Coturnix japonica: one gene and its partners. The protein of the gene in region 1 binds, or shares a complex with, the protein of each later gene. Links are inferred from orthologs where the notes say so. Each region holds a gene or a part of one and is shown on either strand. Other genes may lie near its edges.

What was found. Proteins that work in one complex are often made in the same cells at the same time.
Region 2: TAF1A (region 1) and POLR1C share a complex: the UniProt entries of both Homo sapiens proteins name them as parts of the pol I pre-initiation complex. The link is inferred for Coturnix japonica from reciprocal best matches to the Homo sapiens genes TAF1A and POLR1C.
Region 3: TAF1A (region 1) and TAF1D share a complex: the UniProt entries of both Homo sapiens proteins name them as parts of the transcription factor SL1/TIF-IB complex. The link is inferred for Coturnix japonica from reciprocal best matches to the Homo sapiens genes TAF1A and TAF1D.

What each region holds. Positions count from the first base shown.
Region 1 is NC_029518.1:15,722,394-15,725,708, reverse strand, and holds part of TAF1A (TATA box-binding protein-associated factor RNA polymerase I subunit A), read right to left. Parts: intron 3,237-3,315; coding exon 3,106-3,236; intron 2,274-3,105; coding exon 2,115-2,273; intron 1,063-2,114; coding exon 996-1,062; intron 1-995. UniProt on the Homo sapiens protein: Component of the transcription factor SL1/TIF-IB complex, which is involved in the assembly of the PIC (pre-initiation complex) during RNA polymerase I-dependent transcription.
Region 2 is NC_029518.1:27,798,784-27,803,065, reverse strand, and holds the start of POLR1C (DNA-directed RNA polymerases I and III subunit RPAC1), read left to right. Parts: upstream 1-1,482; 5' UTR 1,483-1,525; coding exon 1,526-1,594; intron 1,595-1,667; coding exon 1,668-1,739; intron 1,740-1,835; coding exon 1,836-1,943; intron 1,944-2,034; coding exon 2,035-2,167; intron 2,168-2,727; coding exon 2,728-2,847; intron 2,848-3,062; coding exon 3,063-3,215; intron 3,216-3,350; coding exon 3,351-3,500; intron 3,501-4,026; coding exon 4,027-4,143; intron 4,144-4,282. Other genes in the region: protein YIPF3, read right to left, coding at 66-158, 748-793, 875-981, 1,056-1,262, 1,333-1,395. UniProt on the Homo sapiens protein: DNA-dependent RNA polymerase catalyzes the transcription of DNA into RNA using the four ribonucleoside triphosphates as substrates.
Region 3 is NC_029516.1:166,173,042-166,177,039, reverse strand, and holds the start of TAF1D (TATA box-binding protein-associated factor RNA polymerase I subunit D), read right to left. Parts: upstream 2,801-3,998; 5' UTR 2,691-2,800; intron 2,371-2,690; 5' UTR 2,358-2,370; coding exon 2,131-2,357; intron 2,046-2,130; coding exon 1,589-2,045; intron 1,462-1,588; coding exon 1,286-1,461; intron 868-1,285; coding exon 807-867; intron 492-806; coding exon 378-491; 3' UTR 1-377. UniProt on the Homo sapiens protein: Component of the transcription factor SL1/TIF-IB complex, which is involved in the assembly of the PIC (preinitiation complex) during RNA polymerase I-dependent transcription.

The DNA.
Region 1 (3,315 bases):
CACACTTCACTGCAGAGACCCTCCTTAAATGCTGCTGACTCAAAGAGGCACACAAGACCACTCACTTAACCCACACTGCCTTCCTTACAACAGTTGCTGCTGTTGTAATCAGTGCTTCCAGCCGGTGCTGTTGTTCAACATGTTCTTCCTGTGGGAAGAGAACACAGCGCCCTGGAACATTTCAAGTGCTGAGATATCAAAACAAAGAAATTGGACTGATATGAATAAAACAGGTATTTCACAACAGCAGCCAATATACCAAAGGCGTTCTTAAAAGTGACCTACTACAGCACGTAAAAGCTGGAAATCTTTACCAGTATAAATTACTACTTCAAAAATCAGATTGTCTTCAAGAGCTACAGGAATTTCACAAGCATATCATGTGTGAACAGAAAAAGGGAGGTTTCAGCCAAAAGAATTTTTATTTTTCACAAAGAGGAACAACAGAAGAGGATAAATTTGATTCCAAGACATTCCATCCATCTGCTGACTTGCTAGAACATACCAGGTTGCAAGAAGATGCCCATTTTGGAAAGCAATTGATCAGCATGGAAAAGCAGTCTCCAAAACTGTCTCCAAAAAACTCACTTAAGATGTTGTTCTTTTGATAAATAGCAAACCAATGCATAAATCCATCTCAGCTCCTCCAGAAAAGAGGTACCATAATGGAAATACTGAGTTTAGCTTTTAGAACGGTGTACCTCAGAAATAGTGAAATGAGCATTCAGACTAGAGTACCTCCAAACAAATCATTTTTGAGGTCCTGACTGTGCATTACAACCTACTGCTTGGTCAGCCTTTAAACTTCAACATGCATTTGTTTACACAGCCTGTAAATACCTACTTAACTCATCTGCACTGAAGGTTCCTGTGATCAGAAAGTCACATTGGGATTTTTCTTTTAATAAGCACAACTACTTCAGTGCAAATTAGAACAATTTCATAATATTCTAGATTAACATAAAGGAAAAGAACAAATATATTTAAAGACTTACTTGATTTTTGAAGCATAGTATTAAAATCTATCATTAGTTCGTGAGAGGGAACAATATCATGCAAGCTCTGGGAAAAAAAAAAACAACACCCAAAACATACATTAAAATGATGTAAAAGCTTCTGAAGGCTTCTACCAAATCCAAAGCAGCAATGTCTGCAGAGTTCTTTAGTATTGTAGGAAAACTGTGCAATCAGGTACCCAATTGTCTTGATACAAATAATGACGACTGAAAGCTATTCTGCACATCTGTAACACTGCTTGGTGATAATACAGATGAAATGCCCTCATGACTACTGAAAAACCCTGCAACAACTGCAACGTTTCCAGCAGCAGCCTATATCCAGTGTCTTCTTTTCAGATAGCAACCCCTAGCCCAGTTCCAGCTCCCATCTGCTCTGTGCATTCGCAGGATGTATCAGACCAGTTTTCAGATTTGCCACTATCTTATAAAATTAAGCCTATAAAATTAATGTGAAAAATAAATAACACACTGTGAAGGTGAAACTTTACATATAACGGCCACGATCCAAGTCTAAACTCAATGAAGCTGTTTTAAAACCATTTACCCAAACAAAAGCATTTTAGTGCCATCAAGTGGCAAAAGAGGTTCAAAAACATTATTGGAAAAGTTATCAGTGCGCAAGGGCAACAAAAGGGGGAAGCTAAAGCAGCTACACAAAGGGCAATGATGCAGCAGGGCTTTATCTAACAGTCAGTAGAAGTAAACTTCTACTGAACCTTAAGTTAACTGCTTATTGAGAACAATGAAACTAACTGCGAGGTGGGATTGGTGTGTGAAAAAAAGCAAGCACCTCATCATTTATTCAACTCTGTAAAGATCAAACTACAATGGAAATTAATGCATGTTTACCTACATGTACTTCCTGAGCCATGGAAAATTGATCTGAGCTTGTTTACTGACCTTACGGTGCATCAATTACACATGTAGAACAAAGACAGTAAGGGATCCTATTTGCTCCACCCATTAGAACACCCCAACCCTTTGCTTCCCATTAAAAAAATACAATAAGGTAAATACTACAACAGGAGACAACTAAACCAACAGACCACTATGCAAAATGAACAACCACAGACTGCATTTATATGTTATATATACCTTGAGAGCAGATATGAGTGATTTCTTTGGTTCACCGTGTCTCTTTAGGAACTGATAGAAGTAAACATGAGCGTTGGGATTTGTGGGAAACTTTGCATTGTAAGCATAATCCGTTAATACTTCACGAGCTTCTTGGTGGTCTCCGTAGAATTCCATCAGCTAAGAAGTTAAGCCTGTCATTAGTTCACTTCACATTAGCAATTAAACACTTACAGTTCATTCTAGGCTGCTACAGAACTACCCAACAGCACCATTTGTATCTAGCAGCATAGCAAACTGGATGTGAGTTATAATGAAGTATTTTAATTTTACTGGTTACTCTTAACATAATTAACTAAAAATTCACACACAGAAGCAGCTACAGAGGAAAAATCACATTAGCACTTCCCTGGTTGTTAAAGAATCACCATCATTCCTCAATGGAAAAAAAAAAAAATGGAAGCAGACTGCCACGTCTTTGAAGAGAACTCGGAGAACTTGGCAGCTGTCAGCATCTAGTAAAATTCCATAAGAAACACTCTGACTTCTTTGAGTGTATCTGCACTTAGAGTGAACCTTTCCAATTCTAAGATTCACTTCTTAGTTAAAATTTGTGAGCAGATATTTAGAAAAAAAAAAAAAAACCACCAAAAAAACAGAGGGACCGCATGTTTGGCTTCCAAGATTTAGTACCACCAGAAAAACATCGTCCTGCCAAAAAGAGAACTTGCTTTCAGGAATTTAAACAAAGCAGCTGTGCTCCAATTTCTCTGCTAGCACCAGGAAAACAGAATGTGCAAGTTGGTTGCCTCTTTTCCTTGGCAGCTCACAGATAAAGCCCTTTTTATACACTACGCAGGCCCTGCAGTCCTACAGACATGCCTAAATCAAATCCAGAGGTTGTTTTTAAACTACTTGTCATCCACACACACAGCTGAACTACAGACTTGTATCTAAATGAAAATTAGACAGGCAAACACAAAAGGAAGAGACCTATAAAATACACTCTTACATCCACATAGGCTTTCACAAAGAGATCCCAGATTCCAGGTATTTTAATGATCTCCTTTAAGCTCACTGCTGCCTTCCGAAAGCGACTGTTCATTTCCTGTTCAACAGACAAGTCTTCAAATCCATCCTTCCCTATGAAAACATGAAAGAATGCCACAGAGTTAGCTTTCCTAGTTAAGAACTATCTTGAAGAAGTGGTGTACCTACAAGG
Region 2 (4,282 bases), about 12 Mb from region 1:
CCAGTGTCATTATAGCAATCCCAAACCCGGTCAAAGCACAAATGAATCACTGAGACTCGCCATACAATGATAGTGTCCGAGGTCTTCATCCCATGCAACAGGATGGCCACCAGCGTGAAGACCAGCATGAGGGGTCCGTAAAGCTCACCTGCAATCTTCTACATGTAAAGAGAGAGATGAGGCTTAGTTAGTGCTCCTGTCTTCCAGGCTCTCCACCCTGAGAGACATAACGAGCATCTTGGAGACTTTTATCACCCGAGGAGCATCTGCAAGGCCACTGCTGACAGAAGCCACACAGAACAGACTGTGATGAGTCAGAGTGGTGTTCAACAGGATGCAGAAATGGGCAAAGTGAGGTCTAGAGTTCTACAACTGTACCAGCGTTAAGGGTAGCAGGAAGGTAAAGGCAGCGCTGGCACAGGCTGTGCAGGGCAGCGGTCACAGCAGTGAGCTGGCTGGAGTTGAAGAAGCATCCGGACAATGATCTCAGCTATATGGTCTGATTTATGGGTGGTGCTGTATGGAGCCAGGTGAGCCTTATGAGTCCCTTCCAACTCAGGATGTTCTATGATTACAATTCTATGAGAATGGGGTTTGGAACAACCATAGGAAAGGGTTTACTGATACTTTGAGGGAGGTGAACATCTAACAGACTTGGATCCTTAATAACAGGCTAATTACATCTGAGGGGTCTCTGTGGAACAGTCACTCAGGCTGTGGGGTCTGGTTCAGTGAGAGAGAACTCACCTGTGGGAAACTGATCATCTTGACGGGCACCATGGACTCCAGCAACCTGCATTACGGCACAGCGGGGAACGACATCAGGACAGTCATTAAGAAGCAACAGATCCCGTGCACCCGCTGCCCTGCCCACCTGGTGCGCACTTGGACGGGCTCCACGTCGAAGTATGGCCGCAGGATGTCGATGTTGGCGTAGAGGCTGAACGCTTTGGACGCCTGTCGCTTCCCCACCTGCCACATCTGCGGACAGAACGGTACGTGCAGCGGCGGGGCCGGGGCCGGCGGGGCTGTTGGCGGCTCGTGAGCCCACTCACCTGGTCGGCCACCTGCCGGCCCAGCTGCCCCTGCAGCCCCTTCATGCCCAGGAACTCGCCGTCCTCTTCCCCGCCGGCCCCCGCCTCGCCCTCCGCCTCCTCGTCCTCCTCCTCCTTCATGCGCTGGTGCATCTCCCCCATGTCCTCGAAGCTGGAGCCCGACGTGTCGTCCATGTTCTCCATGTCGATGACGGCCGAGCCGCCGCCCTGCTCCGATGCACGGATCGTCAGCGCCCGCTCGGGCCCCTCTGTCCCCCCCCCCGCGGGCCGGCCCCACCTGCACGTTGTCCTCAAAGCCGCCCCACTCGGCGGTGCCGCTCCTGCCGCCCGCCGCGGCCATAGCGCCGGTAACGGGGGACGGCAACGCGGATGTGACGGTCCGGCCGCTCCGTGTCTCGCGAGAGCCGTCAGTTCCGCATGGCCGCCTTACGTGCGGCGGGGCGGGGCGGCGGCGCGTCCTTCCGTCGGCGATGGCGGCCCGGCGCGGCACGGACGAGATGCGGGAGCGCGTGGTGCTGGGCGAGTTCGGCGTCCGCAACGTGCGTGGGGCGGCGGGACGCGGGGCGGCTCCCGCATCACCCCCCGCTGCCTCACGGGCTGCGCCCCCCGCAGGTCCACACCACTGACTTCCCAGGCAACTACCCCGGGTACGACGACGCGTGGGACCAGCGGCGCTTCGAGGAGGTGAGTGGGAGCTGATGGAGATGATGGAGCTGATGGAGCTGCTGCTGCGGGGCCCCTTGTTCGGCTCCGTCGTGACGCGGCGCGGTTCCCGAGCAGGGGTTCCGCGTGGACGTGGTGCGGGAGGAGGACGGCGTGCTCGAGTTCGACATGGTGGGCATCGACGCGGCCATCGCCAACGCGTTCCGCCGCATCCTGCTCGCTGAGGTACCGCGGGGCTGGGAGACATGACGAGTGGATGGTCCCCGTGCGGTGCCCTGCTTGGCGGCTTATCGCCTCGCTCTGTCGTCCCCCCGAGGTGCCGACCATGGCTGTGGAAAAGGTGTTTGTGTACAACAACACGTCCATCGTGCAGGACGAGATCCTGGCGCACCGACTGGGCCTTATCCCCATCCGGGCCGACCCGCGGCTCTTTGAGTACAGGAATCAAGGTGAGGGGCTCGGGTCGAACAGCGGTGGGGAGGGTGGAGCCCATAACCAGGAGCTGGGGTCACACCGTAGGATCATGAAGGCCATCAGGTCCAACGATCCCACAACATACAGGGACTCCTACATCTGACCAGGTGCTCAGAGTCCTGCCCAGCCTGGCCTTGTAAGTCTGCAAGGACAGGGCATCAGCCGCATCTCTGGGCAGCCTGTTCCAGTGCCTCACCACCCTCATTTTCACCACTCTCACTCAGTAATAGACTTTTTCTTTATCTCTAAAGTAAATCTACCCTCTTTAAGCCTCAAACCGTTTCCCCTTCTCCTATCACAGCAGACCCTGCTGTAGAGTCTGTCCCTTTCTTTCTTGCATGCTCTTCCTAGGTGCAGAAAGGCCGCTTCCAGGTCTCCCTGCAGCTTTCTCTTCTCTAGGCTGAGCAGCCCCAGCTCTCAACCCATCCTCGTAGGAGAGATGTTCCATCACTGGGTCATTCATGTGTCCCTCCCCTGGATACACTTCAACAAAGCAGAATTCACTTCCATAAAGATACTGTTTTGCCATTTCCAGGAGATGAAGAGGGGACGGAAATTGATACTCTGCAGTTCCAGCTGAAAATAAAATGCAGCCGGAATCCTCAGGCAGCCAAGGAATCGTCTGACCCAAACGAGCTGTATTTCAATCACAAAGGTGAGAGCTCCTTGTGCCTGCCCTAAAAGTAGGTGCAGCTTTCTGCTTTTTCTCTTGTTCATTTTCTTCTTTCTCTCTCTTGGTGTTTTGCCTTGTGAGCAGAGACAGCTCATTTCCTCACAGTATACATAGCTTGCTTGTGCCATCTCCTATTCAGGTCAGCAACCTGTTTTCTGAGGCAGCAGCTGGCTGATGCTCGTGGTTTCTTTTGGCAGTGTACAGTAAGCACATGACATGGGTTCCCTTGGGGAATCAGACAGACCTCTTTCCGGATGCTGACTTCCGACCTGTCCACGACGACATCCTTATAGCACTGTTGAGACCTGGGCAGGAAATAGATGTGCTCATGCACTGCGTCAAGGGTGTAGGTGAGTGCTGGGTCTGAGCTGGGGAGTGGGTGTGCTGGTGCTTGGACTCGAGCACAGCTGTGTGATGGGAAACACTGGAGAACTAGCTTGACCCCAAGGCCTGTCCTCATCCTTAATTCTGAACTCTTTGTGCAGGTAAAGATCATGCCAAGTTTTCTCCTGTGGCCACAGCTAGTTATCGACTGCTTCCTGACATCACTCTCCTGCAGCCTATCGAGGATGAGGCAGCCGAGACGTTACAGAAGTGCTTTTCCCCTGGAGTCATTGAGATCCAGAACGTCAAGGGTACTTTCTTTCCAGCTGTAAAGTGCCTCGTTCCTAACAAGTCTTAGCAGTGACTGAATAGAGACAGTAGAGATTGTAGTCAAACCTTGTTGGGAAAATAACACATTGCGATGTTGTCTTGCTGATCAACAACAGTTGGTGCTGTTTTGAGCCTGGTTGTAGTGGCTGAGTGGCTGTCACACACAAATGTTTTTAGCAGTGAACTGAGATCTCCCTGAAATGCTTATGTGTTGCATGCCTGTCTGTAGAGCCCTGTGCTACTGTTAGGTGTCTGGGTAGCGAGCTTGCTCTTTGTAACAGCTGAGCACGGGGAGGACTTGTGTCCTGCCCAGGAGCACATACAGGCTTTGTGTTTGGCTTAGAACTGTTCGAGGAAATGAATTCTGCCAAGCTGGAGTTTCATGTTAGGGATGTGCTAATTATATGTGGCTTTGCTGCCTCTGCTGCTTGAGGGGTAAGTACTTTTTGTGACCCCAAGGTGCTCATCTGCTGCCGGTGCCCACCTTGTTTTGTCTTCTCCTTTTAGGAAAGAAGGTGGCAAGAGTAGCCAACGCACGGTTGGACACGTTCAGCAGGGAAGTCTTCCGACACGAGGGTCTGAAAAACCTGGTGCGCCTGGCCAGGGTGCGAAATCATTACATCTGTAAGTAGCCTGTTTTGTGCAGAGCAGAGTGCCCAGCCCGATTCTGCTTTGTACAAACAAGCAGGGGCTGGCCAGTGTGCATACCTTGGTCTCAGTCTTTCCCTTCTACTTGGCATCGTTATTCTTCCTATGTTTGTAT
Region 3 (3,998 bases), on another chromosome or scaffold:
ATGAGCAGGACTCCACACCCACCTCACTGCATTACCCTGCCAGAACCCCACTCCTACATCTAGTCTGAGCAACCGCAACAAGTTCCCATTCATGCTACAAGATCAGCAGATAGTCCCTGTTGTGCTGAAGGGCTTCTATCTCTGCTCAGTCACCTTCGTAAGACCCCACTCTGGACTGAGGAGGGGAAGAAGGGAATAGAACTTTTCATCACACTGCTAGTTGTTTTAAAGCAGCTTGAGATTATGATATTGGATTTAGGAGAATTAGTTTATTCTACACTGCTTAATTACAAGAGCTGGAACTCTTAGTCCTGTAGCTCTGTGACCTGCTGGTTCCACAAGCCAGGCTGCGGAAGGTGCTATTTCAGCAGGATCACTTAGCAGCAGCATTCTTCTTCAATCACTCCAGCTGACTTTGCTCGCTTTGTTTTGGCCTTTGATTTCTTCTTCTTGTTGGGAATTTTGCTGCTTATAATGAAACAGCTTTTGTCCTGAGAACAAAAAAAAACAGCATTCTCAAGTCTGGTTTGGAGACACTTGAAGTACCAATTTATTACTAACTTCCTTTAGGAAGTTTTATGGACGCTTCAGAGAACTGCCCAATTTCCGCACATCCCAACATAATTCCAAAGAGCTCAGACTTCTCTCAAACCAATTTCCTCTTGTACTACACACCAAAACCACACAAACTGGTTAATTCCAGATCCAAGCTCAAGAATTAAGTACTCAAAGCATCATCTGTTACTTATTTAACACCTCAAAAGAGAAAACAGGTTATAGTTTTCAAATTATGGATGTTTACTCACCACTACTCTGACATCAAAGTCTTCTGGATTATCAGAGCCCAAGCAGTTATCATCGTCATTGCTGAAAGGCAGGAAATTCAAATCAAATCTGTACTTCTACAGTAGCGCAGCATAAACAAGCTGTTCTCCTAATGCAGCACCACTTCCTCATAATGCATATGGAAACGCTACAGCTTACAGGTCTGGGATGCTCCCACTTCTACATGAGGCTACACTGAGAGCCTGTGGAACAAGATCCTTATCTAAAGCCATGAGCTGTTACTTATTTTCTCTCTCTGCTCTTTTAAGGATGAGGAGAGAGCACACAACACAGCAGTGCTAAGCCAACAGAATCCATTACTGAGTTACAGAAAAATCCAAGAGGTATTTCACCAATTAATATAATGCACGTGCCAGACAATAAAGACAGCAATGCTGAACACACAGACTTTAAGTTGAGAACAAAACAGCAACTTTTATACTACTGAAAATGAACTTACTTTGTCTCCTGGATAGGAGAAATGGGGCCTTTGTCATCTAAATATTTATGTTTCCGCGCTGTCAGACATTCCCTTTCTAAGTCTTCATTTGCTTCAAGGGATTTCAAAGCCTTTTTGAGGTGTTCTTCAGCTTTAAGCATTTCAACATACTGGAAATATCCCTTCGCAGCTGCTTGCTGCAAAAAAAAGGAATAGATCTTAAATACAAACAAAGAAATGAACCATTTATATAATCAACCAGACTGTAACATTAAATGACAGCCTTAGGTCAGCTGGTTCTCTCCCACAAAACACAGGGCTCACCTCATAGCTAAGAACCATATTTACGGGAATATGTTTCCTCCCATAATGTTTTTCAACAAAAGGGAACTGAAAGCCTGGATCCCGAAGCCTTCTCCTTCGCTCCTGAGGCGGGGCTGTCATGGGCCGATTCCCACCACGCTTCTTTGGGGGTTCCGAGCGTCTCTTTGTCTTCCGTGAAACACCGCTCCTGTATCTTCGGTGCGCAGCAGTTTTAAACTTCCTTCCTCTGAAGTGATAGGCAAAAATGGCTTTCAAATCGAGCTTGGATTTCCTCCTTTGGGAGGGTTCAGGTGGCCTCACCGGGCTCTCAGGGAGCAAAGAGTCAGGACTTTCACCATCAGACACTCGTGCATCAGCTCCTGCTTGTTTCCTTGAAGGCTGCGATCTCCTCTTTTGCTCCGCAGAGGGAGCAGTGCATTTCCTAGAGCGTTTGCTGCCCCGAGCAGCTGAAACATCACTGAAAAAGAAACGTGTACATTCAACAGAGCACATACGTTTATGAGTCTTGTTCGTAAGTGATTCTAAGGAACCAGGTAACTCACATTTCTGAATCGCTGCTATCCACCTCAGATGAAGATGTATTTGTACTACTAGTCTCATCTGAAGACTCCTCAGGAGTGGCGTCCTTCTGCCTCGAGCACAAACGTCTCTTCCTTGCATTCACTGCACGCTCAGGTATTTTAGATCTTTTTCGCCTCTGAGTGGATACGAGACTCTGAGCATCAGGATCATCAGAACAAGAGGTGTGGGATTCATCTGTATCACTCATGTTTTAATCTGCCCTGAAAGAAATTAAATATGTTTTACCCCAGGCAAAGCTTTTCACATCCAAGGAACGTATGTGTCTCCCTCACAGTAGCCCCCTCCCGCCCACCATCCCGGGGCGGACATTTTGCGCGGTTCCCGCCGCTCTACCACAGCCCCGGGCCGCCATGAGGAGCCCATTTCCCACATCCCACCCGCCCCAGGGCCTTCCTTGCGCTCCGTCTAGGAATCGCTCAGCGACAGGATGTGCTTTGATTCTACCCCAGCCTCACAGCGGGTCCTCACACGGCGGATGGCAGCGGATTCAGCGCACCGCCATCACCAACCCAACACTCACCTCACGCTTCACCTCCGGAAAGGGCGCGCAATGGCCGCCCCCGAGCTTAAATAGCGCTCGGCTCTCGCGAGAGCAGGACGGGGCGGGGAGTGCCGTGAGGGGGGCGGGGATGGGCGGCCGCAGGTTGTGGGCATTGGCTGCGGTTCCCGCTCGCTGTGGGTCTCCAGAGGGTGGCTCCTGCAGGTTTGGCTCCGGGACTCTTTTTAGACTCTTTTTACCCTCGTTTACGTGGCCTGAATTTCCCTTCTCGCTTCTCTGCTGAGTTCATCTGCACGTTGGCGCTGTCCCTGTTGGCTCTGTGGCTCTGGCTGTGCTTCCTTCTCCCCCCAGCCCCCCGCTATGAAGCGTTTCTATCCAGCCATTAACTTCTCCTTTCCGTTTTCTGCCCTTTCCTGCTTGGAAAAGAAAAGCCGCAGTGTCTCGACGTGTCGGTTGTTTCCTGCCATCCCGTTTGCAGCGTTCCTGTGACAGCTTCCTTCACAGAAGGGAGAATCGCCCATAGAAGCGGACGAGCCCCCAGCTAAGATGGAAATCACTCTACATAGACAGCTTGCTTTCTTGCTCTATTGCTTGTTACAGGCAGAACTTGAGGTAGCTGAACTTTGAGCTCAAAGTCTCGCTTTTTCTTCCATGAAAGGTTCCTATTTTGTTACGTGCAGCAGGCGTGTGCCTAAGGAGTTAATGATTTCTGGGGCTGGTTTATAGGTAGCATGTAACCAGCTGCTTGTGCCTGGAGCTGCTGGTTTGCCCTCGTAGCAGGTTATGCTGTTGCATGACTGAAATATAGCTCGTTTCAAAAGAAGCTCCAACATTTCTGTTCTGAACAAAGCTTGCTGTGAAAGGCTCTGAGCTGATATAGAGTCCAGTGCTGTACAACTTGCTGCTGCTTTGGTGCCTTTGTTTGGCTTTGAGATGCACTACAACCTTCTTCCACTTTGGAAACACGTGCCTATAAGAAACTGGGAGCCAAGGTTGAAAGTCCATCATAGCCAATGCTGGAAAAGTAAACATTAAGGTAGTGAAGACCGGGTAAGGCAGTTATTGTGCTTAGAAAAGCGTGGCTTTGGGTTTACAAAGGACAGATAACTGACCTGTCCCTTGAATTAGGTTCAGCGTATTACATATTTTGTCTGTACTGAGATGGAAGTTTGAGGACTAACAGATGTAATGCTCTGAAGCAGCTGCAGAGCTGGTAGGCACACCTGCTTCCAAAGCACATAGAATCATAAAATCACCAAGGTTAGAAAAGACCTGAAAGATTATTCAGTACAACCATCCACATATTACTAATAGCTGCCACTAAACCAC